Linked DNA regions of Pelodiscus sinensis. The main gene of each other region encodes a partner of the protein of the gene in region 2 in a complex. Links are inferred from orthologs where the notes say so. Each region holds a gene or a part of one and is shown on either strand. Other genes may lie near its edges.

What was found.
Region 1: the proteins of PLXNC1 (region 2) and SEMA7A are in contact, whole or in part, in a crystal structure (PDB 3NVQ), measured with the Homo sapiens proteins. The link is inferred for Pelodiscus sinensis from reciprocal best matches to the Homo sapiens genes PLXNC1 and SEMA7A. Residues at the interface, in NP_005752.1 of Homo sapiens: Arg131, Thr151, Glu152, Val153, Asn195, Pro196, Ala197, Ala198, Ser199, Asp200, His201, Thr203, Ala206, Lys208, Arg213, Ser214, Leu215, Ala216, Thr217, Gln218, Glu219, Leu220, Arg222, Lys224, Glu272, Ala350, Ser352, His353; in NP_003603.1 of Homo sapiens: Gln194, Tyr196, Asn197, Gly198, Lys199, Arg202, Arg204, Tyr213, Ser215, Asp216, Thr217, Gln270, Gly271, Gly272, Glu273, Ser274, Ser275, Leu276, Val278, Ser279, Lys280, Pro372, Thr375, Glu376, Phe378, Gln379, Asp382, Arg383.

Annotation. Positions count from the first base shown.
Region 1 is NC_134724.1:35,578,943-35,593,877, reverse strand, and holds the start of SEMA7A (semaphorin-7A), read right to left. Parts: upstream 6,848-14,935; 5' UTR 6,837-6,847; coding exon 6,686-6,836; intron 1-6,685. UniProt on the Homo sapiens protein: Plays an important role in integrin-mediated signaling and functions both in regulating cell migration and immune responses.
Region 2 is NC_134711.1:80,308,896-80,323,956, forward strand, and holds the start of PLXNC1 (plexin-C1), read left to right. Parts: upstream 1-8,879; 5' UTR 8,880-9,023; coding exon 9,024-9,995; intron 9,996-15,061.

The DNA.
Region 1 (14,935 bases), on a different chromosome or scaffold from region 2:
CCGGGGCTAGCTGAATGCACGGGATTCAGCTGGAAACTGACGCCGATTTATGAGTCCTACCTGCCAAGCAAGGCAACCTGAACCTTCCACCGTTTATTCCCAGCCCATGTGTTTGCTTTCCCTTCCTGTCACAGGAGGGGCCGCAGGGGAGAAAGCCACCTGCTGGGTTTGTTGAAAGCACTGTGCCAAAGTCACCCTGGGAAAAGATGAGCACAGCGCAAATCGGGACTGCCGGGAAAGGAGCTTTCCACTGGAAACGCTGACACACCGAGATCCGAGCCGCTAACTTCGCCCCAAGTGCCCAGTGCTCCCGGGGGAACAGGGCTGCAGTCATGGGAACCCAGCTGCGGAAACGCCATGTGGCTTCCCTGCTTTGATTCTCCCTCCCCCTCTGTGTCCCAGCCTCAGTGCCTGGGAGAACGGAAAGGTTCCCCACAAACCCCTGGAGCCCACGGCCTGTGGGCCAGGCTGACGACTTCCAGGCAAGAGGAGGCGATCAGCGTGAAGTGACCCTAGTCACTCATTACGCCTGCACGGCATGTGGTAGCAGCTGAATTGACACAGCCCATCCGCCGCAGGGGGAACGTTTCTACCAGGCTCCATGCTCCTCAACCCCTCCCTTCTGGGTGATCCAGCTCCCTGCAGCCAAGGACTCACAGAGCCAGGGAACACTAGGACGGGAAGGGACATCAAGAGGCCGTGAATCCAGTCCCCTGGCCTCGCGGCAGGACCCAGCACCATCTAGCTCATCCCTGACAGGTGTCCGTCTAACCTGCTCGTAAATATCTCCAGGGATGGAGATTCCACAGCCTCTCTGGGCAATTTATTCCAGTGTTTAATACCCCCCAACAGGAATGTCCAACCTAAACCTCCCTTGCTGCAGTTTAAGCCCCTTGCTTCTTGTCCAATCCTCAGAGGCCAAGGAGAACAATTTTTCTCCCAGCTCCTTGTAGCACCCTTTTAGTTACTTGAAACCCGCTTGCATGAAGGGTGGCTAGCAACAGCCATGGGCTAAGACGGTAACTCCCTAGAGCAGTGGTGCGCAACCTGTGGGTCGCGACCCCCAAGGGGGTGACGGATGTCTTCCCAGGGGGTCGCGGCGCTTAGATCTGGCCGGCCAGGGACTGGGTCCAGGATCAAAAAAGGTTCCCCTAGAGAAGCAGATGCTGGCACAGCACAGATGCTGGGGATGGGCACCTACTGGTGACACACCATGGTTAGTGAGAGGAACAGCTGGGCTGTCTCATTCCATCTTCAGCTAGGACTTCAGTGGGGTGATCCTCAATCGGGGGTCCCCACCCCCACACTTGATAAACTTCACAGACCCCTAATTCTCGTCCTCTGCCACCTCACATTGAGAAGCACCTCAACCAGGAAAGACCTGCCCAGCGCTAAATAGCACCCAGCATCTAGAACAGGGGTGGATCCGGCCCCCGAGGCTCACGCCCCCCCCCTGCATTGGGGAGCCTGTGCTGGTGCCCCATACCCTCCCCCGCTGCTCCTGGGGCTAGAGCACCCAAAATCTACTAGGCTGGCCCCCCGTGGTCTCTGGTGTGGGAGGGGAATGTGGGAAGGGTCTTTCTGCTTCCTAGTCGGGCGCCATGTCAGCGAGGGGTTTTTGAGTGTGGCCCCCGCCTGATTTTTCCGTGGGGCAGTGGCCCCTGACCCGAAGAAGGTTCCCCGCCCTGATGTAGAAGATGGGTTGGAGGGATGGGGGCCACTGCCCCACAGAAAGCGACAAGCGCGCTGGGTTTGGAGACCTGTCAGCAGCGTATCATCCAGGGAGCCACCAAAACCAGCTCGCCAGAGTCTCCGAGGGGACGGCCACCCACCCCGCAGCTCAGCCGATCTCGCCTGGCCAAGAGGCGGCTTCACGGAGAGCTGTGCAAGCAACATGCCCCGCCCCCGGGACGTAGTGGGGGGCTGTCTGCTCTGTAGCCAGGGGTTCCCCTGTGCTGTGAGGTGCGGTTCCCACTGACTCACCCACGTGTGGAATGACCCAGACACCGAGTCCCAGCCTGAGCAGATAACAAGGCTCTTCCCAGGGGGAGACACAAAGGAGGGGAGGCGGAGACGGCCACCTGGCTAGGGGGCAGGGCCTGGGAGCCGGGCAGTTTTTTGCAGGAAAACCATGAAGGGAAGAAACTAAGCAGAGTTCTGGGGGTTGAGCAGCCCAGGCACCCCTACCCCAAGGGATCTAGGGCTGCCAGCCCGACTCCTTACGTTTACACACGTCTAGGCTGCGCTGTACCCTGGAGAAGCAATAAGCCCTCTCTGTTCTACGGGCTGGCGGAGTCTCATCTTGCTGCTACGGTGGGGGGGGGGCAGGATCAGGGGCATCCCCGACGTGCCGCCCCCTCCCCCCCCAGGCAGTGTGCTAGTACTGCTCCACTTCAACCTGTACACCGATGACTCGCGCATACAGAGCAACGTGCAGAGGCTTACAGACGCCGATGAGCTAGGCAGCATGGCACAGGAGAAAAACGTGGCCACTGTTGAGAGCAGACTGACGCCTGCCCGGGGCAACCTTTCAGCATATCCTCATTCGAACCAGCTGCCTGTCAAACCTCAGGCAGAGACGCACGTGTCGGCCTTTCACTCCCGCCATCGGGAAGCCAAGCAGAGACTAACCATCCTCTGGGCTGGTACTAGAGGGGCTAAGGGGCCATCCCCTCACTTTTTAACAGGGGCAGAGTTTGGGGGCGGAGGCAGCCTTGCCCCCTGCAAGCCTCGGGCAGGGGCTGAGCTTCACGATAGGGAAGCTGATCTGCAGTGCTGCCCCGCACCTGCCCGAGGCTTGCAGCGAGGGGAGTAACACCCCCAAACTACGCCCAGGTTGAGACGTGGGGAGACATAGGGGTCATAAACAGGTGTCTGCAGCCACACCCACCTACCCTTCCCTTATTGCTAACTGGGAGTCGGGGGATCCTGGCGACGTGGGGGCCAGACCCCAGTGCGCTGCCAACAGTCGTGCCAGGGAGATCCCCTCTCAGCGAGATACACACCTGCCCCTCAGCCCGTCCTGCCCCACGTGGCTGGGGTAGCTTCCGTAGGGGCATTTGACACGCAGCGCCACGTAGTGGCTGAACAGTGGCATACAGTTGGGCCTTTCCTGACACCTGCTGCCATAATGCATTAGCGTGGCCGGCTCTGCTCTCCCGAGCCCCCGTCTCCCACCTGGGTCAGCCCTCGGGGACCGCTGGCCAGCAGCCCTCCGAATCATAGGAGCCTAGGGCGGGCAGAGCCCTCAGGAGTCATCGAGTCCAGCCCCCTGCCCTAAGCAGCAACAACCCATTGTGCACCCTTTGCACCTCTCCCCTTGGCTCTCTCTCCAGACAGCGCCTGCCTCGGAAGCATGCAGGCCAGAATGCCTGGCAGATGAGGCATCTCCCTCCTCCGCGGGTGGCGCCTGAAGTCACACTGGCCTCTAAGCCGTGTCGGATCTGACACGCCGGGGCTCAGCGTGGGAGCCAAATGCTCCTAACCCTAAAGCATAGCCTGGCACCGCGGCCTTTAGCTCTGCAAGCAAAGCCAGGGACCACAGTGTCCCAGCCTGCAGACACTTCCTTCTGCACCAAGCGGGGGAGTAACCAGGCCTCCGACTCTGATTGGGAGGCTGGTTTGCGACACTCCAGAGTTCCACAACTTCCCGTATCTGCGCGAGAAATGTGCCGTGCCAGTCGCCCACGGACCACCTGGGCCTCGCTTCCGCACGGGCTTTGGAGGGAGCTGGAAAACCCTTGCAAGTAGAAATGAGCCCAACGAGCTTTGGGTCCAGATCTGGACTTGCCCGTCCCCCATGCGAAGCTGCAACTGAGGAGGAGCAAGTACCCGGCTGGGTCCCCAAATCCCTGCGTTTACACAGTGCCAGGCGGCACCTCTGTCAGATCCCTCGGCTCGTCTTCACTAGAGACAGGCAGGGCTGCTAGACAGCCCTGGAGCTATTTAAAGGGTTACCTATCCAGTTTCTATACTACAGGTCCCATCTCTCTTTACAGCACCGGGCTGGGGAGCGCTACCCCACAGAGGGTGGCTTTGCAGATAGAGGCAGCAAGGGGCGAGGGGAGAGGAATCCCCAGCTGATCCCGGGCTCCACGCTTTCATCTTTGAAGTGTAGCAACAGCCCTAGCAACTTCAAAGGTGGAGGCGCCCTATTGACTAGGCGATGCAAAATGCATCGCCTATTCGATTAGTCAATTAATTGATACTCGACATCCGTAGCGCGCAGCCCATGCCTGGAAACGGAGCTGTATCGAGGATGCGTTGGAAATGCTGGGGGAAGGGAAGGTCTGAGCATCCTGGCCGGCTAAGGGCCTTTGTCTGAAATGACATGATCAGTATTGGAGCAAGCCAGCTGAACGGGGCCTCTCTGCCTTGGGGAGCTGCCTGTTTTCCTCTCTCTGCTTTGGGGTTCTTGTGTTTTTCTGAAGGCTGAGAAATAGAGTCACGCTGTGGTGCCCACACGGGTGGCCCATGCGCAGCCGGATGTTGCTGCTCCATTTCAGGCATGTTCATGCCTCCCCTCATGTGCAGCAACATTGGGCAAAGCAGTTTTCTTCACCCCCCAAACTTACGCCGCCTTTGGGAACCTCCAAGCCCCCTTTGGCGAGGAAGGGGCCCCGTCTCCAGCCTGACATGGGGTCATCGCTCTGGAAGAGAGACGCTGAGCCAGTGACACCAGCCGGGGAAGGGAAAATAAAGCCTGGATTATGGTTTTGCCTGAGGCGCTTTCCTCCGGGCTGGCTTTAGTAGCACAAAGCTCAGGGCTGGCCCTCCCATGTGGCGAACTGAGGTGGCTACCTCAGGTGCCTGACTGTGGGGGGGGCGCCACTAGGACCCAGAGTGTAGAAAATTGTGTTGGCTGCTGGTGTAGGTAGCAGAGCAGTCCCATGAGAGGAGTAGAACAGGAAGAAGGCAGAATTGAGACCCAAGCGAGGGGATATGGGAGCATCATTTGAGCTCCCCGCCTCAGGTGCCAAAATGTTGTGGGCCAGCCCTGACAAAGATTCCACCCAAGAGTGATCGGCTCAACATATTGGGTCTTGTTCCCCCCCGCCCCACTGCCACCAGGAATCAAGTCCCCAAAAAATCCTAAGATTGGCATAAAAAAATCCTGAGATTTGAAACAACAGGAAACATCAGGGTCCGTTTCCTTTGCCTCCTACATCTGAGCCTTCAGGGTCTTAGGCCAAATGCTGTGGATTTTTTCCAAGGCCGGGAGGGCTAGAAAGTTGAACCAAAGCAGCTAATCAGCACCTTGCAGGAGCAGCGGCTTGAAGGAAAAGCGCTAACAATCGCCCGTCTCGCGAATGCGCTCCAAAGCCGTGTTGCCCTGCGTCGCATGCCAGGGAGCCCATCTCGGGGCACACGGAGGAAGACTCTGAGAGGATAAACAACAGCATGACAAGCAGCAGGGGGCACGGCCAGAGAGAAACAGGTGCCAGAGAAGCCAGATTGCTGCTCTTCCCACTGGGGCACGCTCCCTCGGAAAGGGGTGTTTCCCCCTCACATGTAGCCAAAAGCAGGTGATCTGATGGTTTTTTCCTAAGAGGGAATTCCATGGAAATTATTCATCCCTTCAACACTCACTGCCTCAGACAATCCCTGCCAGGGATCTATGTCTTCATTTCCTTGTATCATTGGTCTGCATTATTTACAGACACACAAAGAGAAGATGACAGCATCAGCTCTGCCCTGGATTACCTTTGTCTCACTCTGAGGCCTCAATATTCCCCACCTGCTCCCAACGCCCTGAGCAGCTGCTTCCGAGCCGCACGGCTGAAGAACAGCAGCCAAGCTGGGCCAGAGCTGGGGGCGAACGTGCCCTCCACAAAGGGGACAAAGGATCCTGTACCGACAAGCTACTTGTCACACCGGCTGACAAGAGCATTCGAGCCCAGCTGTCTGCGTGATTCAGACAAATAGCGTGGAATAACATCTCAGTCAGAAACACCGCTGCGCCTTCTGTTAATGCCTTCCTATGCGACGTTAACCAGGCAGCTGGGGCATGGAGGGAAGAGACATCCATAAAAGCTATTTTACTCTATACATTCATATGGGTCCCTCGGGCACTTTGCATACACTTCCTCCTCTGCAACATGGATCCTTTGTATTAAGGGATTTGTCTTGCCTCAGAGCTCAGTTCCTGCTCCAGGAGACTGAAGGACTAAATGTTCCGCATAACTAGCGCAGAGACAGCCGGCCAAGTCACTCTAACACATAGAAAGATAACTGTTTGACATGGCTTTTCAGCTGCTCAGTGTGTGTGTTGCAGCAGGGACAGTATCTCCTACAACGTCTCCACAGGGACTGGGTATTAACAGCCGCCTTAAATTCTATTTGTGGCGTTTAGAAAGGGGTTGAAATAAAAAACCACGGAAAGGTCAAGAAAAAGAAGGCACCTCTATGAAAATGAAGAAACTGATCAAGGGGGAGAAAGATCTTAACACACATCAGAAAATGGCCAGGTCCTTTTCCTATAGCACAACCTCAATCTCCCTGCGAGAGGCCAAAATGAATCAAGACTAAGCCCCCCAAAGCGACATGATACAGAGAAAAGAGAGAGACTGTTACACCAACAGGGATAGTCTCCCTGTGTCTGTCAAGTACACACACACTTTGTAGATTTCAAGGTTCCTGTGAAGCAGTGCAAGGCTCAGGCAGGCAGCTGCCGTTTGAATCTTACCTTGTGGAGCTGTGAGGATAATTCTAGGGTTTACCGTGGAGTACCCAGCTGTCAGGAGAAACAGGTGGCTGGTCCATAGGACAGAAAGACAGGCAGTGTGCGAGTTCAGACCCATCTCTCCTGCAATCTCTCCGGCACAGCTTGGCAGCATACTTCTGCCAGGATAGCATAGCAGTTAAATATACCGAGTAGGCGGGCCTATAGGTCCCTTAGCCAATCGGAAGAGTTTAGTTGGTAAACTAGCTTCAATCCTCAAGCTGTTACCCCACTGGGAAAAGGGGTTATAAGAGCAGGCCCCCAAAATCATGAGATTGTCTTAAAAACGGTGAGCTTTGGAATAGAATACAGGGGTGATTTTTCCCTTGCCTGTCTAGCCTTTGGGGCTCCTGTTTACAAGCTCCTCCTCTGCACCCACAAAGGATAGAAACTTACTATTTTGTCAAGGAAAGCTGAAATTCTGGCATATTCCCCTCACTCTGGTGGTTCACTCCCACTCCTGTGAGGCTCACTGTAAAAGTCACAAAGCCAGCAATGGTCTGCCACAGAAGAGGCAGCGTAGTTTAGTAGGTAGAGCACTAGACTAGGACACAGAACTGGATTGTGTTTCTGTCTCTGCCACTGGCCTGCGGGGTGAGCTTGGGTGAGTCACTTTGCTTCCCATGGCTCAGTTTCTCTATCTGTAAAATAGGTCTAGGCTTGAGGCAATTTACCTCATCCAAGAAACCTGTAGCCCTTGACATTGGAAAAAGGAGATGATGTCATTATCTCCCTCCTGTACTTCCAGTTTGACATGTCTTCCTTCCCCTTCCATCCTATGTTGTGCTGCCCTTTTGCTTTTCACTTATAAACAGCTGTTACGTTCCACTCCAGAAGTGGTGACACGTTTGTAATGGGGTCCAATTTTAATGTACCACGCTGGCAACAGGCAAGAGCCGAAAAGTGAGCGCAAGGGTCATTCGTGCCCACAGCAATGCCCCTTTACACTACATGAACCACTGGGCCATCATTTAGAAATCAGCAGCGTAGTACATAGAAATAAGCCTCCATTCCTAGCCCCCAGCAGCTGTTGAAGATAATAGGAGACTAAGAGGTTTTTTGCACCCACTGTTTGGGCTGTCTACACAAAAGCGACATTACACAGGGTTTTCAAGGGCGCATTGTTATCTTAGCTCGGCTTTTGTGCTGGGCATTTACAGGAACCCTTTGCCAGTCGTGGTGGAGGACTCCTGGCACCACTGCAAATGGCAACATTTGTGAATACTCGGAGCCGCGGCTTCCAGTCCCCACAATGACCTCCCTGCTGCTCCTGAACTCAACGCAGGGGTCAGGAGCTGCTCGCTGCGGGGGTCAGGGGCCGTGGGGAATTCCGGGCAGCTCTGGGCAGCTGCAGTGAGTTCCCCACGGTTTCGGACAGCGGCAGGGAACTCAACACAGGTCCGGGAAGCCACCGGGAACTCACCGCAGGTGCCAGTAATGGGGCGAGTTCCCCATAGCTCCCATCCCCCACCATCGTCCCCTCTCCCAGTCCAGGCAGGAGACTCTGGCCAATACGCAGAACCGGGAATAGTGATCCCATGAATTGTGAGGGTCTCCTATATACAATTAGTCCCCATGTTTAACCTCTCTAGTCCGGCAACATCCATGGTCTGGTATGATTTTAGTTAGCCAGATGTTCACTTATCATGGGTGTGGCCAAATTTCCCCTGGTCCCATAAAGTTTATTTACAGCCACCAGGCCTGGCGCTCAGTGGTCTGTGCTGTGAATTAGCTCTAATTTACCCCTAAGTGTCTTCTAAGAACCCAGTAAGCAGTGGAAGTGTTGGTAATGCGGCTAGACAATATCGACCTCCTATGCTTCGGAAATTCTCTGGTTCGGCAAATTCTGAGGGTGCCAGAGAGCGGTCCAAGCTGTACTATTTTTACAACATTACCCAAGTCAAGACTATCTGAATGCGATCAGCATTGTAGATCACATAATAACAAATATGAAGCTATTGGTTCACATTGTGATTTTTTTTGTCCAAATAGGTAAATCCTGGCAAATTCAATTAACATGGAAAAGAGTGATCTCGGAAAATGGTATTTCATTTCAACTAATAGTCTGAAAGGGAGGTGGAGTTGGCAGTCCCGAAGATGCCATTATGGTCCCCTGAACCGCTGGCTAGTTGGTCGACTTTGTGGAATGCCAAAAGCAGAACGAAACCTGAGACTTCTGGTGCTGAGTGCATGAGCCTCTACACAGCAGGAGCTAAATGCAGCTGGCTCTCAGCTAAGGAGCACGCTCATTCTTCCTAAGATGACTAAGTACCACTACATGGAGCAAGAAACTGCACCCAAAAGAATTGATTGCATCAGTCATCAGCATTCCTGAGGCATTTACCAACTCCAGACAGGTCAATTTTCAGGCGAGGGTGAGATAAGAGTCTCACTTTGATTGTAATAAAAAACCACAATCGAGTCTTGCATGAGCTGCATCCATACATTGGATAGCCCAAGTGCTTTTAGCCTGGCATGAAGAACTCATCTCCGGGCCACAGTGTTTAGTTCTAACTCACCCAAAGTTTGCGAGCGTCCTCATCAAGGGGTCTTGTTTCAGGGCCTACCCTAGTCACTTAGCCTGCCATTTTCGAAAGAACCGCGTCTAGACTGCGGTTTTACTTTCGAAATGGCGCTTTTTCAAAAAAGCGCCATGATGCGATTATGCAAATGAAGGATGGGAAATTCAAATCCCCGCCCCATTTGCAAGTTCCAACTGTCTAATTTGCATCCCTGTGAAAGAAGGGATGTAGTCTAGACCCAGCCTTATTGGTGGGAGCTAAAAGATAGAACAGGAAAAAAAGAACATCCGAAGAAGTGGGGTTTGCCCACAAAAGCTCATGATCTGATATATATTTTTGTTAGCTACTAAGGGCATGTCTATACTGCAGGGCAAAAGTCGAATTAAGCTCCGCCACTCCAGCAACGTCAATTGCGCCGCTGAAGTCAAAACAGCTTCATTCGGCTTATGGCGCTGTCTGCACAGCAGGAAGTCGAAGGAAGAGCCCTCTTCTTCCAACGTCCCTTACACCTCGTGAAATGGGGGCGATAGGAGTCGGAGTAAGAAGTCCTCCAGCTCGCCGTTATTTTGGAATCACAGCTTGCTGTGTAGACGCGCTCCCTGTCATTTCAAAAGAACGTCGGTTATTCCAAAATCACGCTGCTGTGCAGACGTCTCCTTCGGTGCCACAGGTCGACTCGCTGGTTTTAAAGTTACAGGCTAACACAGCTGCCCCTCTGAGACACGGAGGAAAAAACCTCTTCACTAAATCCATTTTAATCTCTGGGTTTATTCCGGAGCGTATGCCAGACACACAATGGTTTTATAAATAGCTTGAACTCCAGCCCAGCTCTCCAGCTAATCACTGTCAATGTTTCTACCAGACAGTTCCTTTTATTTCTAGATGTCTGTTTTCATGCAGCTCCCTATGGGCAGGTCCTTGGGTCTTGAGAGAGATAATGTCGTCCTAACATTAGCAGCCTTTCGGCCTTTCAAACACTTTCCTGCAGCCCTTTCTTTGACTTACAGCCCTATGGTTCCCCTGGGATAGCACCCCGGCCAGAGACAACTCAGGAACCTGAGACCCTCTACTCTCAGAGAAGCAATGTACCCCCCTCCTCATCAATTTTACCTTAACCACTGCTCCTGTATAACACACAGCACTTGAAAGATAGTGGTAGAAATGTAGCCGTGTTAGTCTGGTGCAGCTACACCAGACTAACACGGCTACATTTCTACCACTATTCTACATGCACGGCACTACATTTAGCCGTTTGGAATGGAAAACCATATGAAAAAACTTGCACAGATGCAGACAGACATCTTCTTTCTATCCAAGTGCAAGAAGATGGACATCGTACCCAAAGGACTGAAAGTGAACAATCCATTAAGATCAACATACTTTACTGACTACAGTGAAAGACTCTGCCTCACACTATCCAAGAAATTAAGGAACCACCTGATAAGTATTTTATACAAGAAACAGAAAAACTTCAAGAATGACATTTCAAACTTAGAGAGTCTCATCTCAAGACAAACATCCACACCGACTAACACCTTGCAAGACTTTTGTTCCACTTGAAAGATAGTTGGTTTAAGTAGGAAATAGAGCTCCTACTAGAAACAAGAGAGTGATGGAAACAAAAGAGTTATAATACAAACCAAATCATCAAGCACAGAGTAGGGGCTACCCTTACTCCACTTTCCCATAGAATAAAAGATGATTTTCCCCTATTAACAAGTGTGAAATATCAGGACTTCTTTTTTCCAGAGGATCTGGGTCACAGCTGTTTATAAAGGACAAAGCCCCTAGAAGATCCGGTAATATTGGCACATCTGGTCATACAGATGGTCCCCCCAAAGTTCAGTCTGTTGCAGAGCTGGCCATCAAAGGACGGCCAAGCAGCATGCAGCCCAATGAAAATAACTTGCAAACACAGAGAGGAGATGGGAAACAGGTCAATCCCGCTGGAAAAAAAAAAGATCGTTGCAGGTTTCATCATTCAGTTTTATATTGGGGGGGGGGATCAAAGTGTTGTTCAGATTTTAGGATTTGTTTGCGCAGCGAGGCTGGGCGATTTGCGAAGGTTTACCTTTAACTTACAGCAAAAAAGCATGCTGTGTGTGTGTATGTGTGTTTTATAGACTCAAATGGCTCGCTCCCCTCTGTGCCTCTGAAAATCTAACTTGCTGAAGGATTTCAGAGAGAAGGTGATAAATCCCCAGTTGGTGTTCTGGAACTGTGTACACAGCTGTCCCATAGTCCTCACGCCTGTGCACAGTTCACGCTCTCTGACGAGGAGCGGGGGGTCTCTCTGTGTGGGTCTGCCCCGAACGTCAGACGTATATTCGACGCAAGGAGCTAGGGTATCGTTACACTCCTCACGCAGGCAAACTTCGCCACACGGTCAGCAGAAGCTTTGGGTGATCAGGTCTCTAGGCAAGCGGGGAATGCATTCCATGCGGATGTCTCCTCCCCAGCAGGCTAGCAAGGCCCCGAGTCAGCCAAGCACATGAGCACGTGCTTCCAGGGGACTTTCAACACACGCTCAGCCCGGGCCAAAGTGCTTTGTTGATTCAGGGCCAGAAAAAGCACCGGAGCCAGGAGAGCAGCTGATTGTAAAGCCCTTGCTGATAACGGGAGACTTTCCAAAGATGCCAGCGAGTTCTGGCTCGGGTCTGGAAGGAGAGGGAGGTGAGAAGCGTCCGGAAGAGGGAGGCGAGCCAGGCTGAGCGTCCCAAGCAGGGAGCAATGGCAAACCAAGGCCACCCAGGCTGCTGTTGTCTTTCAGTGTGGGGTGGAGGCTTTTCGCTGGCAGCCCCGGAGCTGGGAGGTGAAGCCCATTTGGGGTTTAATGCTGATCCCTACCGAGGAGGCATTTTACAACAGGCCATGCCAGGCGCAGCACTGGTCTTTTAAGACTAAAGACGTGTGGGCGCTCAGATCCTACAGTGCAGTACCAGGGGAGGACGATATTGCTATTTTGACAGTGCCCAGGCTAGACTAGAACCAGCAGCCCTGAGCTGGGCCCCAAGGCAGGATTTAGACAGGACCTGCCCTTAAGAGTTCAGCTACTGCTTGTCTGTTTTGGGGCACACTTGAGTCTGGCTGCTGCGCTGCTGCACTAGAGTGCCTCCTAGTGTCCCTGGTGCAGAACTGCCAGCACAGGGTCTGATATTTCTATCAGGGGTCTCCAACCTTTTTAGGCACAAGATCACTTTTTAAATTCAAGTCAGTCCAGGATCTCTCTCAGATCCCTGCTCCACCCCTTCGCTGAGGCCCCTGCACTCCTCACTCTGGGAAGATGGGGTACAGGGGAGGGGGACAGAGTGACATCAGCACCCCCTGCCTATGTCTGCCCCACCCTGCACAACAAGCAAGAGGCTCCCGGGGCAGCGCTGAGGCTCCGGGCAGGAACAGCAGGGCAGTGCGAGGAGGGGCAGTTGAAGTGCTGGTACTTGACAGCCTCCCAGCCATACCTGTCAGGGTCACCTGTCAGAGGCTCCACGATCTTCTGGTAGATCCTGATTGACTGGTTGGTGACCGCTGTTCTACATGGTTCCTTTCACCCAGAAACCCCCAAAGCACTTTACACAAAGCTAGAAAGCCAGTTTCCATGCAAAGCCAAATTTTGTTTCCTGCTCCAGAGTTTCCTGTAAAGTATTGTTGTCTCTGAGCTGGCAGGTTCAATCTGGGGATAAGGTAGAATTTTTCTACCCAATTTGAGATGCACTGGAAGAGGGGATCCTGAATTTTGATATCCTGGACTCCAGCAATCCCCAACCAGTATGTGTAGCACCAGTGATGTGTTTGGCACCATGGACCAAACCAGCTCACGGAGCGAGCCAGGGGATGTAAAGTTGTCTTAAAATACCTTTACCCAGGCTCGCTCCGATTGTGCGCCAGGCTCAGGTTGGTCAGCCCAGAGAACCCAGGATGGACTCCAGCCTGATGTGAGTGGCAGAGTTCGGCTGTTATGAACACACAAACGCAAGGAGTTGAATACAGAAAGTAGAGCAACACCGTCTGTCTGAAGTACTGTCATTGCTCATCAGATGCTCAGACCAAAACTAGCTGAGCCAGATGTCTGGGTTCTAGCTTTATTGAGCAAGGGCTGGAGTGAAACTAGAAATGAGGAAGATTCCAAAGATATTCAAAACGTTATTCATGGATCAGCTGTCTGCCCTTCCTGGAAGCTTTGCAAGTCAATTTGAGGCAGGTATCAGACACCTCCGTGGTGGATTTGGTGCAGTTTCGTCTGAATTGTGACATTCAGATGCCAAGGCAGACCCGCACTGGAACCTCCCCGGGGTACTTTAAAGAATCACATTTCCCTTAATAATAGGCAGCAGTTTTAAAACAAACAAAAAGAAGTTTTTCTTCACTCAGCACACAATCAATCTGTGGAACACCTTGCCAGAGGATGTGGTGAAAGCTACGACTTTAACAGAGTTCAAAAAAGAGTTAGAAAGTTTATCCTGTACAGACTACCTCAGCTACTCCCTGAAGATTCATGGAGGTTAGGTCCATCAATGGCTATTAGCCAGGGTGGGTAGGAATGGTGTCCCTAGCCTGTTTGTCTGGAAGTGGGTGATGGGAGGGATCACGTGAGGATTACCTGTTGTGATCACTCCCTCTGGGGCATCTGGTATTGACCACTGTCGGCAGACGGGACACTGGGCTAGATGAACCTTTGGTCTGACCTTGTATGGTCGTTCTTATGTTCTTAATAAAAATGTATTTTACTGAATCGCAGAAGGGTTCCGAGGAACTTCTCCTTCTTCTTAAACCCGTGTACTCCGAGTGGCGCATAGGTCATCGACAAGTCTCTTCCACTTCACTCTGTCTTGAGACAAAACTTCTAGCTGACTCCAGGAGTACCCCAGTTGCCCTTCAGTCTCAGTAGATCTTCTCCACATTGTCCGAGGTCTTCCTCTTTTGCGTTTTCCTGGCAGGTTCCACGTGAGAGCTTGATGGACTATGCTGGATGACGGTTTTCTGAGAGTGTGGCCTCGCCATCCCCACTTTCTTCTCTTGAGTTGAACGTCAAGTGGTTCTTGTCCTGATCTGTTCCAAAGCTCCTCATTTGTGACAACGTCCTGCCATTTGATGTGAAGGATGGACCTCCGGCATGTGTTTATGAATGTCTGTAGCTTGTGATTTGAAGACTTTTTAGCATGCCAGGTCTCGCATCCATACAAGAGCACACTCTTCACATTTGTGTCAAAGAGCCGCCGTTTCATCTTCACAGATATTATTTGTGAACTCCATATGGGATGAAGAGTCTTGAAGGCAGCTGTTGCTTTCCCTATCCTAGCATTGTCTGTTCCTTGTCTGTTCCTCCGTCTCTGCCCATAATACTCCCCAAACAGATGAACTGCTCCACATCTTCCAGGTCATCCCCTCCCAGTGTGATGGTGTTGTTGTTGGACTAGCTGTGATCAAAAACCAAACCGCAGCCTCGCCATTAGAAAACCAGCATTCTTCTCATTAGCAGTCTCAGTCTGGCCTTTTCCCCAGACTAATCGAAGAAGAACTGGTTCGAGCTAGAACATTAGTTGCAACAGTGAGTTGTCATTTGTACCCAGACAAATCTATCTGACAGAAACAGAGCAGGTCACACCCTGGATGTTTTAATTGAGCCTTGTGCAAGAGACAGGCACATTAATTCTTTAGTTTCTGAATTGACCGCAAAAAGTGGAGCTCCAACTGA
Region 2 (15,061 bases):
TGTATGCAGATTTGATCACTCCATCTAAAAAGATATATTGTATTTGGAGACAGTACAGAACGGGCACCGGAATGATTAAGGGTAAGGAACAGCTTCCATATGAGGAGAGATTAACAAGAATAAGTAAATGCAATCTATTCCTTCATTAACAGAACACAAGAAGCTTAACTGACCCAATTAAATATATAGGCAGCAGATTTAAAACAAACATGTGATGGGGGGTAGATCATGAAGATTGCCTCTTCTATTTATTCCTTCTGAAGCACAGGGCATTGGCCACTATTGGAAGACAGGATACAGGGCTAGAAGGATGATTGGTCTGACCCAGTCTGATACGTTTCAGCTCTATATAAGAGTATCTGCCTCTTGCTGTAACCCACAAGCCCCCATTCCCCTTCCAGAGCTGAGAGAGCATCTAGGAGTCCAGATAGGGCGTTGGTCTCTCTCTCTCCACAGAGTTAGTAACTAAGTATATTAAAATTTTAAGACTAACCAGTGTTCCTTAAGTGACTTGCCACAAGATGTCAGCATATGTTAGTATTAGAGCTGAATAGGTCTAATATTTAATCTTTTTCTTTTATATAGGAATTGGATACAGTGCTCCTGTCAGTTAATTGCTAAGTTGTCTGCCCAAAAATGAAGTTTTCCAGTGCCTTAGTAGTTCATGGATAGAGATTAAATGTGTGGTGGGAGGAGGATAGGGTTGATTGGTTTGTATGAGCATGCTCAGTAACACTGCTAAAGCCTCTTTTCCTCAGTCTGCTGCCCCCTGCCCCATGCTTGTACTGTCCTCCCCCATCACAACATGCACAGGTTGGCCACCCCCACCAAAATCTGAAATGGTGCCTCTGCTGAAGAGTGGAGCTTTGCTTTCCCTCTCGCCTAGCTGCTGCTGGTGAGTGCAGGGCACCAAGCACCCCTCTGCAGGGCCACACAGAGGATCTTGGCCCCTTGCTGCTCCTGCCTGTGGAATCTGGAGGAGCATGGGTCCCCTCAGCCCCCAATCCCCATGTGTTGCCACTGTTTATTGACATGATTTGTTAAAACTGAAGCCTAGACATTGAGAAAGGATTGGATGGAAGTGCATGTGTTTTGTGGTGGGCGTGTGTTTGACTCAAAATGAAAAGTGAATAGGGAAGGGAAAAATCACAGAAATGTAGGACTGAAAGGGATCTTGGTAGCCATCTAGTAGGCCAAGTTGGTAGGCCAACTAAACCATCCTTGACAGCTATTTGTCTTTAAAATCCCTAAAGATGGGCATTCCACAGCCTCTCTAGGTAATTTGTTCTAGTATCCACCCTAATAGGCAGGATGTTGTAATGTCTAGTCTAAATCTCTTTTGCTGTAATTTAAACCCATTGCCTGTTCTGCCCTCAATGGTTAAGGAGAACAGGTTATCACTCTCCTCTTTATAACAATCTCAAAGACAGTAATGCCTCCCTCTCAGCCATCTCTTCTTCAAACTCAGTTTTTTTTCAGTCTTTCCATGTAGGCCATATTTTCTAGACCAATAATCATTTTTGTTTCTCTCCTCTGGACTTGTCCACATCTTTCCTGAAATGTAATGCGCAGAACTGAGCACAGTACTCCAGATGAGTCCTTATCTGGGATGATTAGAGAGCAAAACCCAATAATTCTTTCAAACAATACTCTTGTTAATACAACCAAGAATGACCTTCACTGCTCTTTTTTTTTTTTTTTTTTTTTTTTTTTTTTTGTGGCGGTGGTGGTGGTGGATGTCTGTTTGGGATTTTTTTGGCAAAAGTTTTACATTTTTGACTCATTTGGTTTGTGGTCAGCTATCTCCTTCAGATCTGTCCTGTGATGCTTCTTCTTAAGCAGTCTTCAGTTACACAAACAAAAATAGGAAATTAGTGTCAAGTGATTTTAAAATAAATTGTGATGTTAAACAATAATGGAATACCATTTATTTAAATATTTTGAATGTTTTCTACATTTACAAATATATCTTTCAATTATGACAGCACATAGTGTCACTTCATATTTATTTTTTATTACAAATACTTGCCCTGTTTTTAAAAAAAAAACGTGTTTTTTCAATTCACCTAATGCAAGTATTGTAGTATGATCTCTTTATCATGCAAGTTGTTCTTCTTCTAAATGAAGAATTATGCCAAAAAATTGCATTCAATAAGAAAACAATATAAAATTTTGGAGCCTGCATTTCACTTAATCCTTTGTGTTCAGCGTATTGCTCAAGCAAGTTTGGTTACAATCTGCAGGAGATAAGGCTGCCGGCTTGTTTACAAAGTCAAATGAGAACATGCATTTGCATGGCACTGTTGTATCTAGCATTGCAAGACATTTTATACCAGATGTTCTAAAGATTTGTGTCCCTTCATGCTTCAACCACCATTCCAGAGGATATGCGTCCATGTTGATGATAGGTTCTACTCAGTAATGATTCAAAGCAGAGTGGACCAACATGCTCATTTTCATCAGCTGAGTCAAATACCACCAGCACAAGGCTGACTTTCTCTTTTTTTTTTTTTTTTGTGGGGGGGGGGGGGGTTGGATTTTGTAGTTTCCATGTTAGTGTTGCTCTTTTCAGACTTCTGAAAGCATGCTCCGCCCCTTGTCCAAAACCTGAGACAGCACTTCAGATTCTTAAACCATGGGCCAAGTGCTGTACCTATTTTTAGAAATCTCACATTGGCACCTTCTTTGCATTTTGTCAAATCTGCTGCGAAAGTGTTCTTAAAATGCACATGTGCTGAATGATAATCCAAGACTGTTATAACATGAAATGTGTGGCAGAATGAAGGTAAAACAGAACAGCATGCGGATAATTCTCTCCCAAGGAGTTAGTCACAAATGTAATTAATATATATTTTACTAGAAGACTTACCTGGCATTGCCTGGGTCCTTCAAGGCAGAATTCTGGAGGTGGGAAATTGAGGGTTGGGGGGTGAGGAGGAGCTCAGGGCAGGGGGTCCCATCTGGCACAGGCCTTTTCTCTACTTCTTACCTCCAGCCACCAGGGGCGTTTTCTCCTCTTCCCCCCACAGCCTCTCCCAGCTGCCGAGGCCTGCCTCATACCGAATGATGAACAACTTGATGCCCCAGCCCTACACGCCAAATGTGCCACAACAGCAAGCAAGTGACGAGGCTAGAGTATTGCTCACTTGCATGGATGTATGCTCACCAGTCCTTGCCCCCAGGCCTTAGAGATAAATGATATCTCCTCAAGCACACATGCCCAGTGCCCTGTATGCTGATTTATATCTTTGTTGGTTGCTCCGGGCACTCAAACGGATGCATCCAGGCTGCTGAGAAAGGGGTGTTTGTTTCTCACTGAATTCTTTGCTTCCCCATTTTTCTGACATGGATTCTCTCTCATGCAGAATTCTCCAAGGAATAAATAACAAATGATGAACTTCTGCTTTAAAGTTCAGAATTTACCTCAGCTTTTTACTATGGAATTGTTACCAGCAACTTCAGTATGGAGTTGCACAGTAAGTGCCTTTCAACTCTTTTCTATGATTTCACTATTTCACAATCTTGTGGCACATGCAAATATCAATGTTCACTTTTATGTACAATTGCAACATTTGTCATTAGTCACCCAGCCATTACCAATTTCATAACTTCATACCATAGTTGGCAGTTGACTAAGATTGCAGATATCCTGTGGATTAGCAGACAAGTGTGTGGTGACTTTAAGTGAACGTTGCTGCTATTGTATACAAAGGAATGACCGATAATTAGTAAGTATGAAAAATTAAAGTACAAGGGAGTAAAAATTGTAACTGTGGAGTGCAGCCAATCCCTTAAGTAAAAGTACATTTGTAAAATATGATGATGCATATTCTCAAAACAATCTTAACTGTTGTATTGTTACCCAAGCTCCATTTATAAATCTGAAAACATTTTACTGCCATCCACTGTCAAAAACTATCAGACCTGGCTCATGAGCCTTACCATAGATCGGTGTTTCTCAAAGTGGTCTGCTAACTGGCCACACTGGTATGGCTTCCCACAGCTCCCCTTGGCTGCAAACAGCGAACAGCGAAACTGAGCCAATAGGAGCTGTGAAGCTCCGTGGCTGTGGCACTAGTAAGTAAACAAACCTGTACAGCTAGTTAACAGTTTCTCAACGTGGTTTCGCAGACCACTTTGAGAAACACTGCCATAGACCATTCTCCAGTTAATGTTCTCATAAAATACTGATTGCTGCAACCAGAAAAGTGCTAGTGCTAAGTGTTGCTTCAGATCCAGGGCAAAATACATTGCCTTAAGCAATTACTGCTGAAGGATGCAGTCTTCACTTTGGGGAAGGAAATGTATGTATTTAAATTGTGTTTTACCCTCTATTTGCAAATTTGGGCCCAGATTCTTATTTACATTTAAGGCTACTTCACACTGCCCCTGTAGTATTAAAATCTGCCCCAGTAGGGTGGGAGAAGTTTCAGGAGATGTTGATAAAATATTGTTTCTTTTCTTGCATAAATATATCTTTATTTAGGACTCAGCAAAAGCTGTTTGCTGAGCATGCAATACTTGGTTCTGCTTTGTTGAGGTCGTTACTGGAAATGATCTAGAAGGCTTCAAAGAGCACACAGTCGAAAGGGCCAGTCCTACGAGGTGCTGAGCATCCATGCCTGCAGCAGGAGTTCACAGTGCTCAGCACCTTGCAGAAGGAAGCACTAAATTAGACAACTGCCACCCAAAGATGGACTCACAACAGGCTTTACAATTATTAACAGACAAAATAAAAATCACTGCAACTATCTTTTGGGGAGTGAATTGCAGCAACTGTTTAATCACATTCAGCAATGTGTTGCAACAGCATAGGAAAGGAAGCAAAAAACACAATATTCAATGTAATCCTATATCCACAAGGGGAATTTAGTCTGGGATTAATTTACCCTACTGTTATGAAAATGCCACTCTAACAGAACTAGAGGTAGAAAGGATCACAGTTTTATGATTCCTTGAAATTAGTAGTGTGGGGATTTTGCAGCTCCTAGGGCAGGGGTGTCCAAACTTTTTTCAAAGAGGGCCAGATTTGATGAAGTGAACATGCGTGAGGGCCGACCATTTTGCCTGACATTCTTTGAACCATTAAAATTAAATGCAAATTAACTATTTTATGCAAAGTTTATTGCAAACGGCAAACGACATAACACCAACTATACATGTTGTGTCCAAATATATTTATAACTGATTTAGACCAACTGACATTAACTGAGATTTTACAATGTATTCATCTCAATTGAAAAAAAAACTTGCCTACACTAATGTGAAGGGTGAAACTGAGATCTGGACTGCAGTACATAGGCTAGGTCTGGTTCAAAGGCAGTCCCTGATCTCAGCAGCTGCGGAGTCCGTCCCTGCACTCTCAGCCCCAAGGTAGAGGGCTTGCAGGGTCAGAGGCAGGCGGAGAGCGCAGGGCACGCTGGCCTCACGGCGGCCCGGGGGCAGGGCGAACCCGTAGCCAAGCGGGGGAGCGGGGCTGCGGACGTGCCCTACATGGAGGACTTTAGGACCGCAGCGGCTGCCATGGACGGCAGCAGCGCGGCCGGAAGCGGCGCCAGTCAGAGGAGCGCCGGGGAGCCAGGAGAGGGGGAGGAAGCGGGGGCTGTCCCTGCACTCTCAGCCCCAAAGCGGAGTGCAGGGGCAGGGTTTGGGACCGCGGCGGCGGCGGTGGCCCGAAGCGGCGCGCTGAGCGCGCCAGTTAAAAAAAGCACCGGGGAGCCGGGAGAAGCGGGGGGCCGTATTAAATCCGACCGCGGGCCGCATTTGGCCCGCGGGCCGGACTTTGGACATGCCTGTCCTAGGGAGACAGAAAAATGTATATAAAATCCCCTATTTTAATTTAATGACGGTGTGTGAAGGGCCATCCTGCATTGAAATAAATGTTAGCAAGAATCCCAAATTAGCCTGGATATGCTCTGAAAGCAGAAGCCTATTGTAGCTATTCAGGCGAGGTTGTCCTAATGGGTTCCTGCTCCATCAATGATGATAACCAAAAGGCTGCTTGCGAGTGTGCTCAAAGATGTGTGCCTTGTTGACTTGCACAATTAGCTAACACAGAAGACTTTGAGAGAACCCTCAAGGACCACAAATCAGATAAGGATTGAAGGTTCCCAGACAGGTTTATAGTTAAGCAAAGTACTGTAATAGTTGTCAGAGGACTCTACTGATCCATATGTAACCCATAACAATGGACGGACTTGATCAGTGGGAGACCTCCACTGCCCTCCCCCTGATCACCACTTTATATACAGGTACAAACAAGTTACACGTCACTCCAGACGTGTCAGGCTACAACCCTCTGATGCTTATATACCACCCATCACCCCTGCACCTTGTGGTTCGATTAGAATATCTCTGACCATCATACTGTCAGTTTAGACCCTTTCCTAAACTTCGGTTGGTATCTATGGGGAGTGTGGGTACCAAGGTCTTTTTTTAATGAGCTGGTGGTACCATCCTCTGGAATGTACTTTCAACTTACAATCAGTACCAATTACTGTTCTACACCTGGGCCTACTACCAATTCATATTTTGCATCCTCAACCCAATTCATGCCAGGTTCTGTGAGCAGGGGCCTGCCTCTTACTCACAGCTTAGCTTTGCTTTATATTAGCCAAGTTTTGTCCATTGTTGCACAGGCCTGGAATGAGGCCTAACTAACATGCACTTTTGTTTCAGGCCCTCCTCTTATTACACCAATATTTGGGTTTAAGAAGCCAACTAGGGCAGGATTTGTCAAAGCACCTCTCATGGCCTCCTGTGGCCATCAAGGGTTTTTCTTGCAGCTACAGCCTCCTGCATAGGTGTCAATTACGTGGGAATTCCAGGCAGGGGCATCCATGGAAAAAATGAGCAGGTGTTCAGAACCCGCTGTCAGCCAAGCTCTACCCTCTGCTCCCCCTGCTCTGAGCCCCTCTCGCCCACCATGTACAACTGTTCTGCAGTGTGCAGGACACTCCAGGAGGTGGAAGGGCAGGGATGGAGTGCACTTGGGGGAGGGAGGGAGAGAGGCAGGAAAGAGCAGGGCTGGGAAGAGGTGGGCTGCTGCTTGGAGAAGAGGATGAAATGGGGACGGGGCCTGGGGTGGGTCAAATACCCTGTTTAGAGAAGACGTTATCACCTATGGCCTCAAGGGTTGTTATGGGGTGGGGGAGGGAGGGAGAAGGCAGCTCCTCCACTGGACCCTCCAGCAGGGGTTTAGACCCTGTCCTCCTCTGAAGAAACATTGGAGGAGCAGCCAGCCAGTGGATTCCCCATCTTCCTGGAAGTGGTAGGGTCAGGCCTCAGCCTTGGGGTGGTAGGCAGCAGGCTCCAGCTGGGGAGTTTACCATCCCTTCCCCATTGCCCCTGGACCTGCTGCCTTTGCTGGCCATCAGGCTCTATCCATAGGGCTTCAGGCTCAGACCCTGACTGTGCAGAGGTAGGTGCTGTCCCCCATTACACCCTGTCCCCTCACCCATTTACCACATTGTCCCTGACCCTCACTGCCTCCCTCAGCACCCCCAGGTCCTCTCTGACTCTCCGGGCTCCTGTTCATTCCCTATATTGCTCCTGTCTCCCTACTTACTTCCTCATCAGTGCTTAATTTGACCCCAAGCTTCCTGTGGCTGAGTAAAGCCTTGTCTCCGCTTACCAGAGATTGAAGCTGCAGAGATTGACTTCCCTAGGGGGCAATTTAATGGGTCTAGTAAAAACTCACTAAATTGACAGCTGATCATACTCCTGTTGAATCTGGTACTCTACCAGGTCATGAGGAGAAAGGGAAATCGACAGGAGCGTCAACTCCAGTCTGCTAGTCATGTAGCTGGAGCTGCATACCATAGTTTGGGTTAGACCAGGTCTGCATTTGGGGACAAAGTCTGCAGTGAAAAGTGATGTTTGTATGTCAGTTAATGTGACTTTTCACAGCAGACTTTAGAAGCTAGTCAGGAAACTGTAAAAAAGTGATATTAACACACCAGTATCACTTTTTAGGAAAGCAAAGTTACGAGCTAGCAAGTCTAAAACAACCAAAGAATCAAAAGAAATAAAAAAAGACAAGAATCTACAAACACCTTCTTTATGTTTCTATTCTGTGTAGATCCAGTAATGAATAGACACAACTGTATTTTTATTACTGAGTATACAACACTCCCTATAGAAATAAATTACACTGATTTGGACATGTATTTTTCCCCCTAAAATTAAGTATTTTAGGAAAAACTGTCTAAGTGCCTGTCAGCAAAAGTTAGGGGCTCCACTGCCAGGCCACTAAAAGTTGTTGTGAAAACTCCTAATAGGTCTCTGTAGTAAAAGTGAGGTGGTTAGAAAAAGTCACAGCCATAACCATTCCCTGCGGGCCAGGGCTACTGTCTAATAATCCATGTTGGAAAATCAGCAGTGTGTGGAGCCCCTGGTTCCGAAGTTATTTCCTCCCACCCGCAAGAGATTTACAACTTGGGGTCAGCCTGGCAGTCCAAATTAGGGTGATCAGATGTCCCGATGTTGTCAAAACCATCCTGCTATCAGTGGCTTTGTTTTATGCAACTGTACCTCCCTCCTTCCCCAAATCCTGGTTTTTCACTGATCCCTCTAATCCAAGAGGGCACCAACCATGCTCTCGTGGAACCTCCATTCCCTCCCCCCCCCCCCCCCCCCGGCTGCAGGGCGCACAGGTGTGCTTCGCTCCCATCTAGGCTGAGAAGCTATCGGATGCTTCCCCCACAGCAGGAGCCCCTACGGTAGGGTTTGCAGGGCAGCCAAGAGCAGAGCTGGGCAGGTGGCAGCGGCCCCCGCCACCCCCCGGCTCCTGAGGGCACAGGGTGTGCCGCTGCGTGGGGAAGGAAACTTGCGCAAGAGCAAAAATAAGGCCCAAGCCCCCACCCAGGAGCCCAGCCCTGCCTCCCGGAGAGGAACTTCCCATCGCCGCAGCCTGACAGAGGAAGCTGGGGCTGAACGACACAGCGTCTCTCCCGCCCCGCGGCACAGTATGGGGCCGCCGCCAGGCAGCTAGAGCCGCAGCGGAGCCGAGCGAGGAGCCGGCCATGCCCAGGAAGGATCCCCGGCACCCGGGCCCCGCCGCGCCCCAGGCGCTGCCCCTGCTGCTCGCCCTGGCGGGGGCCGGGGTGGTGATGAGCCAGCAGCGCTTCGCCCTGCCCCAGCCTCTGTCTATCGACAACATCGCGGCGACCGGGGACAGCCTCCTGCTGGCGGGCGGCAACTGCCTGTACCAGCTGTCCCCGTCCCTGCAGGAGCAGCTCGGCCTCCGGCTCCTGGAGGGGGCGCAGAACTGCACTCACCCGGCGGGCACCCGCAACAAGCTGCTGCTGCCCGACCTGCAGGGCGACCGCCTGCTCACCGGCTGGACGCTGCACGGCGGCAGCTGCCAGGTGCGGCAGCTGAGCGACCTGCAGCCGCAGACCAACCAGAGCGAGGTGGTGAGCTGCCTGCCGCAAGGCTCCACCACCGGGCTGCTCTTCGCGCCGCTGGAAGACACCGAGCGCTACCTGGCGCTGGCCGCCGCCTACCAGGTGCCCAAAGTGAAGACCATCTGCGTGTCCTCGGTCTCGGACGCCAACACGGCGCTCACCATGCGCCGGCTGCAGGACCTGAGCCTCACCAGCGGGGACTCGGCGACGGTGAAGCGCAAGGAGCCGCCTCTGCACTTCGTGGACGCCTTCCTGTGGGACAAGCACCTCTTCTTCCCATACTACCCCCTCGGCGAGGCAGAGGCGCAGCCCAGCGTGGCCCTGCTGCGGATCCCGGAGAAGTCCGCCCTCGTCTTCAACCACTTCGGAGAGGTGCGCCTGGACTGTGGCGGCCGCGGCATCCTGCTCTCCTCCAGCCTCCTGGGGGCGGAGGGCTGGTGGGCCGGGGTCTTCAGCACCAAGCAGAGCGACAGGAGCTGGAACTCTACCGCCCTCTGCATCTTCAGCACGCAGGAGATGGTTAACCACAGCGGGACGACAGGCAGCAACTGCCGCGATCAGATGATAATCAATGAATCCCCCAATTGTGTGAGTCTCCCCTTGACTTCGCTTAAGCGTCCCGCGGAGCTGGCCCCCGCCAAAATCCCCGTCCGAAAGCCCCTGGACGCCAAGGGAATTCTGAGCCGGAGCCCGCGCCCAGGGACCTGGCTCTACAGAGAATGGCTAGAGCTTTGTGTGTCCTCTAGGCATTGTGTGGTGGCTGGCCCCTGAGGTAGGTCGTGTCATTTCCCTTACAGAGCTGGGAAGAGAGAGACCCGCTCGGGGTTACATCTCAAAGAAAGGTTAGGACCAGGATTGCAGTTGAGGAGAACCTTGCTTCAGAGTCCCTAGGGCTCAGCCTCCTACATCCTCCTGCCATCTAGTCATGCTTCACCTCCCCCACAGCTGTATAAATAGTAATTATGAATACTAAAGATTTCACTTAGGCAGAAACCCAAGACTGGTGGAATCATTAAAGTTACATCAAAGATTAATTTGGCCTGCTACATTTACTGCTGTTGTGAAGTGTGTTGAGGGTCTGTCTTCTTCACATTATTTATTACTTATTTATGTCAGTGCCCACTGCCCCGTGCTTTCCAGTCCTTCAAGGATATTCCCTGCTTTAATGGGCATACAGACTAAGGCCAGCCAGACGAGTGGACAGCGCTTAGGGGAAAGGCAACAACAGTAGATGTTGGCTGCTACTCCTCTCCACAGAGGCATTGCTTTTTAGAAGCATAAAGCCAAATCCTGTCTTCTAACCTTGGGCTTGTATTAATTATCCTGTGGGAGATTCCCTGGTCAACCACTTCTCCAACACTCTCACTCCTGTCATTTTAACATCTGTGGAGTCAGGGATCCACACAAGACTGGAGGGCTAGAATGACTAACCATGCCTTGCTTTATTTTCTGGTAAATTGTGCGGGAAATTTGCTGGAAAATGAACTCAGCGTGAAATACTGCTTCTGCGGGGCTCTTGTGCACTGTGGAACCCAATGCCCTGTGGTATTCTGGGGGCTGTGGCCAGTGGAGCACAAAGGAATGGGAAAGAGAACCAGGGGGACCAGCCCTCTGTTGAGAGAGAACTGATCTCTGACAGATCCTCCAACACCCAAGCATTCCGCAGTTTGATCCCCTGCCTCTTCTCCATTGGGCAGCTTCCTCCAGTAATGGACAAAGTATTTTGGAAACTGCATGAGAAGTTGCTATCCTAACCACCATTAGGGAAGCAGTCTGAGACCTTTCCAAATAAAAGCTGCAATATAAGTGTCAAATATATTAAAAATAGCTAGGCACATCAAATATAATTAAAAATCTGTCCCCTTCTACATGGAATTGTAAGACTAGGTGGATGAAATCTTGGCTGTGTGGAAATTAGTGGCAAAACTCCCACTGATGTTGGTGGACCCAGGATTTCACCCTCCGTTTTCAGGTGTCAGTAACTCACTTTGATTGTTTTGATTACTGATGGTAAAATTAATGAAACGAGTTAATAAAAACTCTCCCCTTCCCAAACAATGGTTAATAAGAAATTGAATGTTGGATTCTGGTTCTTTCATTATTAAGTATTTACATGATTTCTTTATTGGCGCTCTAAGATTTTTTTTTTTTTGGTGAGACTCTAATCCATGGCAAAAGTGAATAATATACTTCCAATAGCAATCCACAAAAAAACCCCAACCCTGAATACATATTTTGGACAACTCACATATCAGAAATACTAGAGAACTATAGTTGTGACTTTTAGGAAAATGGGTGTAAGGCAGTGCAAATATAGGTTGAACGTTTCTAGTTCAGCACCCTTGGAACCTGACTGGTGCCAAACCAGAGAATTTGCTGAACCATGGGAGGTCATTATTGTCTAGCAGCATTACCAATATTTCTGAGCTCTTAGAAGACATTTAGGAGTAAATTAGAACTAAATAACAGCACAGAACACTAACATCCAGGATTGATGGCTATAACAAACTTTATGGGAAATTTGGCCATGCCCATGATAAGTGGACATCCAGTTAACTAAAATTATGCTGGACCATGGATGTTGCTGGACCAGAGGTGCCATACTAGAGAAGTTCAACCTGTACTAGAGTCTATAAGGCTGTCATCATCACTATGTTATCTAAATATCTAAATATGGTACACTGACATTCATTATTTTGAGGACTAGTTCTGGCTTAGATTACAACTATAGTCTCATTATTATAGCAATAAATTCCATCTTTCAAAAGGCTTATCTTTACTGGAAAATTAGGTTGTATTAGAATATGACCATGAGCAGTTGTGTTATTTAACATGATGCTAAACACAACATTGCAGACAATATAGACTTATCACTATGTTTTAACATGTCACTAATTGGAACTCTAGAGCTAATCATGCCCAACTGACAGTGTTAATCATCTCTGGTTCCTACCTACACTGGTAGTACAGTCATGTTTAACATTTTGCTAGATTATATAAATCTTGAGTTTGTGTTATACCATGGCAAAATTGTTGTATGATGCCAACCCCAAAGGAGGCATGATATTCCCTTTAGTATAATTAATTAATTAATTAATTATATACATTTACAGGAAAGGCATAAAAACAAATGCAATTCAGTTTTTAAAAGTTATTTTACACCAGCTTCTAGAATAGGCAAACACAGAACATGTGTGCTCACTTCATGCTTGCATTCTTTATCTTCCAGATATTTCTACATGCATTCTTCTGTCCTTGCCACTCAAAGTGCAAGGTGGCTCACTTCCATAAAGTGATGCCCTTTTGAGTCAGAAGTGTGCATGGGTTCAAAATCTGCCAAAAAACAAAACAAAACCCCACAAATTGTCACTGAGTATGCAAAACTTAAAAATCAAAAAGGCTTTTGGGCATGAAGGAGAACTGTGTATCCCAGAACATCAACTGTGCATCATAGAAGATGAATGGAAACACAGCAGATAGTGGGCAGTGGTTCTTATCTGGCTGCAGTCATGGCACCAAAATATGTTGTATTATTACTGCTTCCTGGAATTGGAGCTCTAAGCTTTCGTGTGGCTGGTGGACTTATCTGAACAGAGCCCTGCCTTTTGCAGCAACTCTTAAATTCAAAATAAATTGCAAATCCTAGTTATCTTTACTGTGTTCTAAATCAGTGAAATAGTATGGTCCATCCAGGCCTGTGTACTTAGACCTATCATGTTGGCTCTCAAAGTGGTACTATATTGGAGTGCAGCCCTCAGCAACAGTAAAATAGTTATAAGCCACAGCTTTGTGACAGCACTCTTCTGACTTGTGTGGGAATTTCCCACTTGTTCACATTCACACCACTGCTTGCACTTCCTGAATGTTGCCTGTGTGTTGTGGTTCTGAGTAATATGCAAAGGGTTTGTTTTGCTAGGGGGATATGCACACTGGATCAATTATATACCTACATTTCATGCTACAGTGGTTTGCATATTCCATTTAAACTGAAAGTTTAAATGGAATGAACACTCTGGCTCTAATCTAGCAAAACACTTCAGCAGGTGCTTAACATTAAGCATGCCGATAATCAAGCTGACTTGAAAGGAACTGTTCATGATTAAAATTAAGAATAGATGTTAATACTTTACTGGGCTGAAAGCAGAGGGGATGTGGGTGTATCAGGGTGTGTGATTGACATAATATTGCTATTATAGCTGACCGGAATTGTGCTTGCGCTCTAGCAATTGATTTAAGAGTAGCATTCCAAACAAGTACTTTTAAAAATGACTCCAATGCTCATTATGTCATATGTTGCATTTTTGGCTGTATGACTGGACCAATTATGCTTTGATTTCATATAGTGGGATTTTCACATGGCATTTTGTGCTATGTTGCTACATGTATAACAATATACGATATATATACAATTTATAGCTCTCTGATGAACTAAGCATCATTTATGCAGTTTTGTAACCTTTTGCTCTGATTAATTTTTCTCTGATCCAAATTTCTGTTGCCTTAATTTTGGGTATATCTAATTAAAAATACAACTGAAATATATGTCTTAATGAACACCAAAATAGAAACTATATACAGATAAGCACCTTCTATTCTCAGAACAATGAATGCTTTTTCAAATGCAAAATCACCAAATTAAATCTGAATTTGTTTTCAGAAATTTGTTTGCATGCCAGTGAGCATTTTTTGAAGCATGCAATTCTGAAATGGGAGCTTTTTGGCTAAAATACATGAAACACACTGGCTGTGTCTACACTGGCCACATAAAACGGAAAAGCCATGCAGATCAGGTAAGTCAGGATAGGGAAATCCGCGGGGGATTTAAATATCCCCCGTGGATTTAAATAAACATGTCCACCGCTTTTTTTCCGGCTTGGGGAAAAGCCGGAAAAAAAGCATCTAGACTGGCGCGATCCTCCGGAAAAAAGCCCTACCTGAGGTAGGAATAAGAGATCCTCCGGAAAAGGGCTTTTTTCCGGAGGATCGCGCCAGTCTAGACGCTTTTTTACCGGCTTTTCCCCAAGCCGGAAAAAAGTGGCGGACATGTTTATTTAAATCCGCGGGGGATATTTAAATCCCCCGCGGATTTCCCTATCCTGACTTACCTGATCTGCATGGCTTTTCCGTTTTATGTGGCCAGTGTAGACACAGCCACTGGGTATCTGTTCGAATGACCTTTGAAGTCAGTGAGGGTATGTCTGTACAGTAGTGTTATTTCATAATAACGTTCAGCTGGAGGACTTCTTATTTTGACTCATGATACCCCTCATTTCATAAGGAGTAAGGGAAGTCGAAGGAAGAGCGTTCTTCCTTCAACTTCCTGCTGTGTTAAAAGCTAAAAGCTGAATTAAAGTATTTCAACTTCAGCTAAGCAATTGATGTAGCTGTGTCAATTTAGCCCAGCTGTGTAGACATACCCTGAGAGTCTTTCCTTTTTGTGGGCTTTGAGCATGCCATATAGAAACTACTAGAATATCAAATCCTGGTGAGAGATTATGTGCATAATAGATTAGCAGACATGACCCTGTAAATACTGAGAATTTAAATTAGAGACCATCTGCAGGAGGGCATACTTAAAAAGAGCAGCTTAGGATGTTACCTCTCTACATTTAAGAACCTGGAAGTAATTTCAGCAGTTGCAAACAAAAGGAATG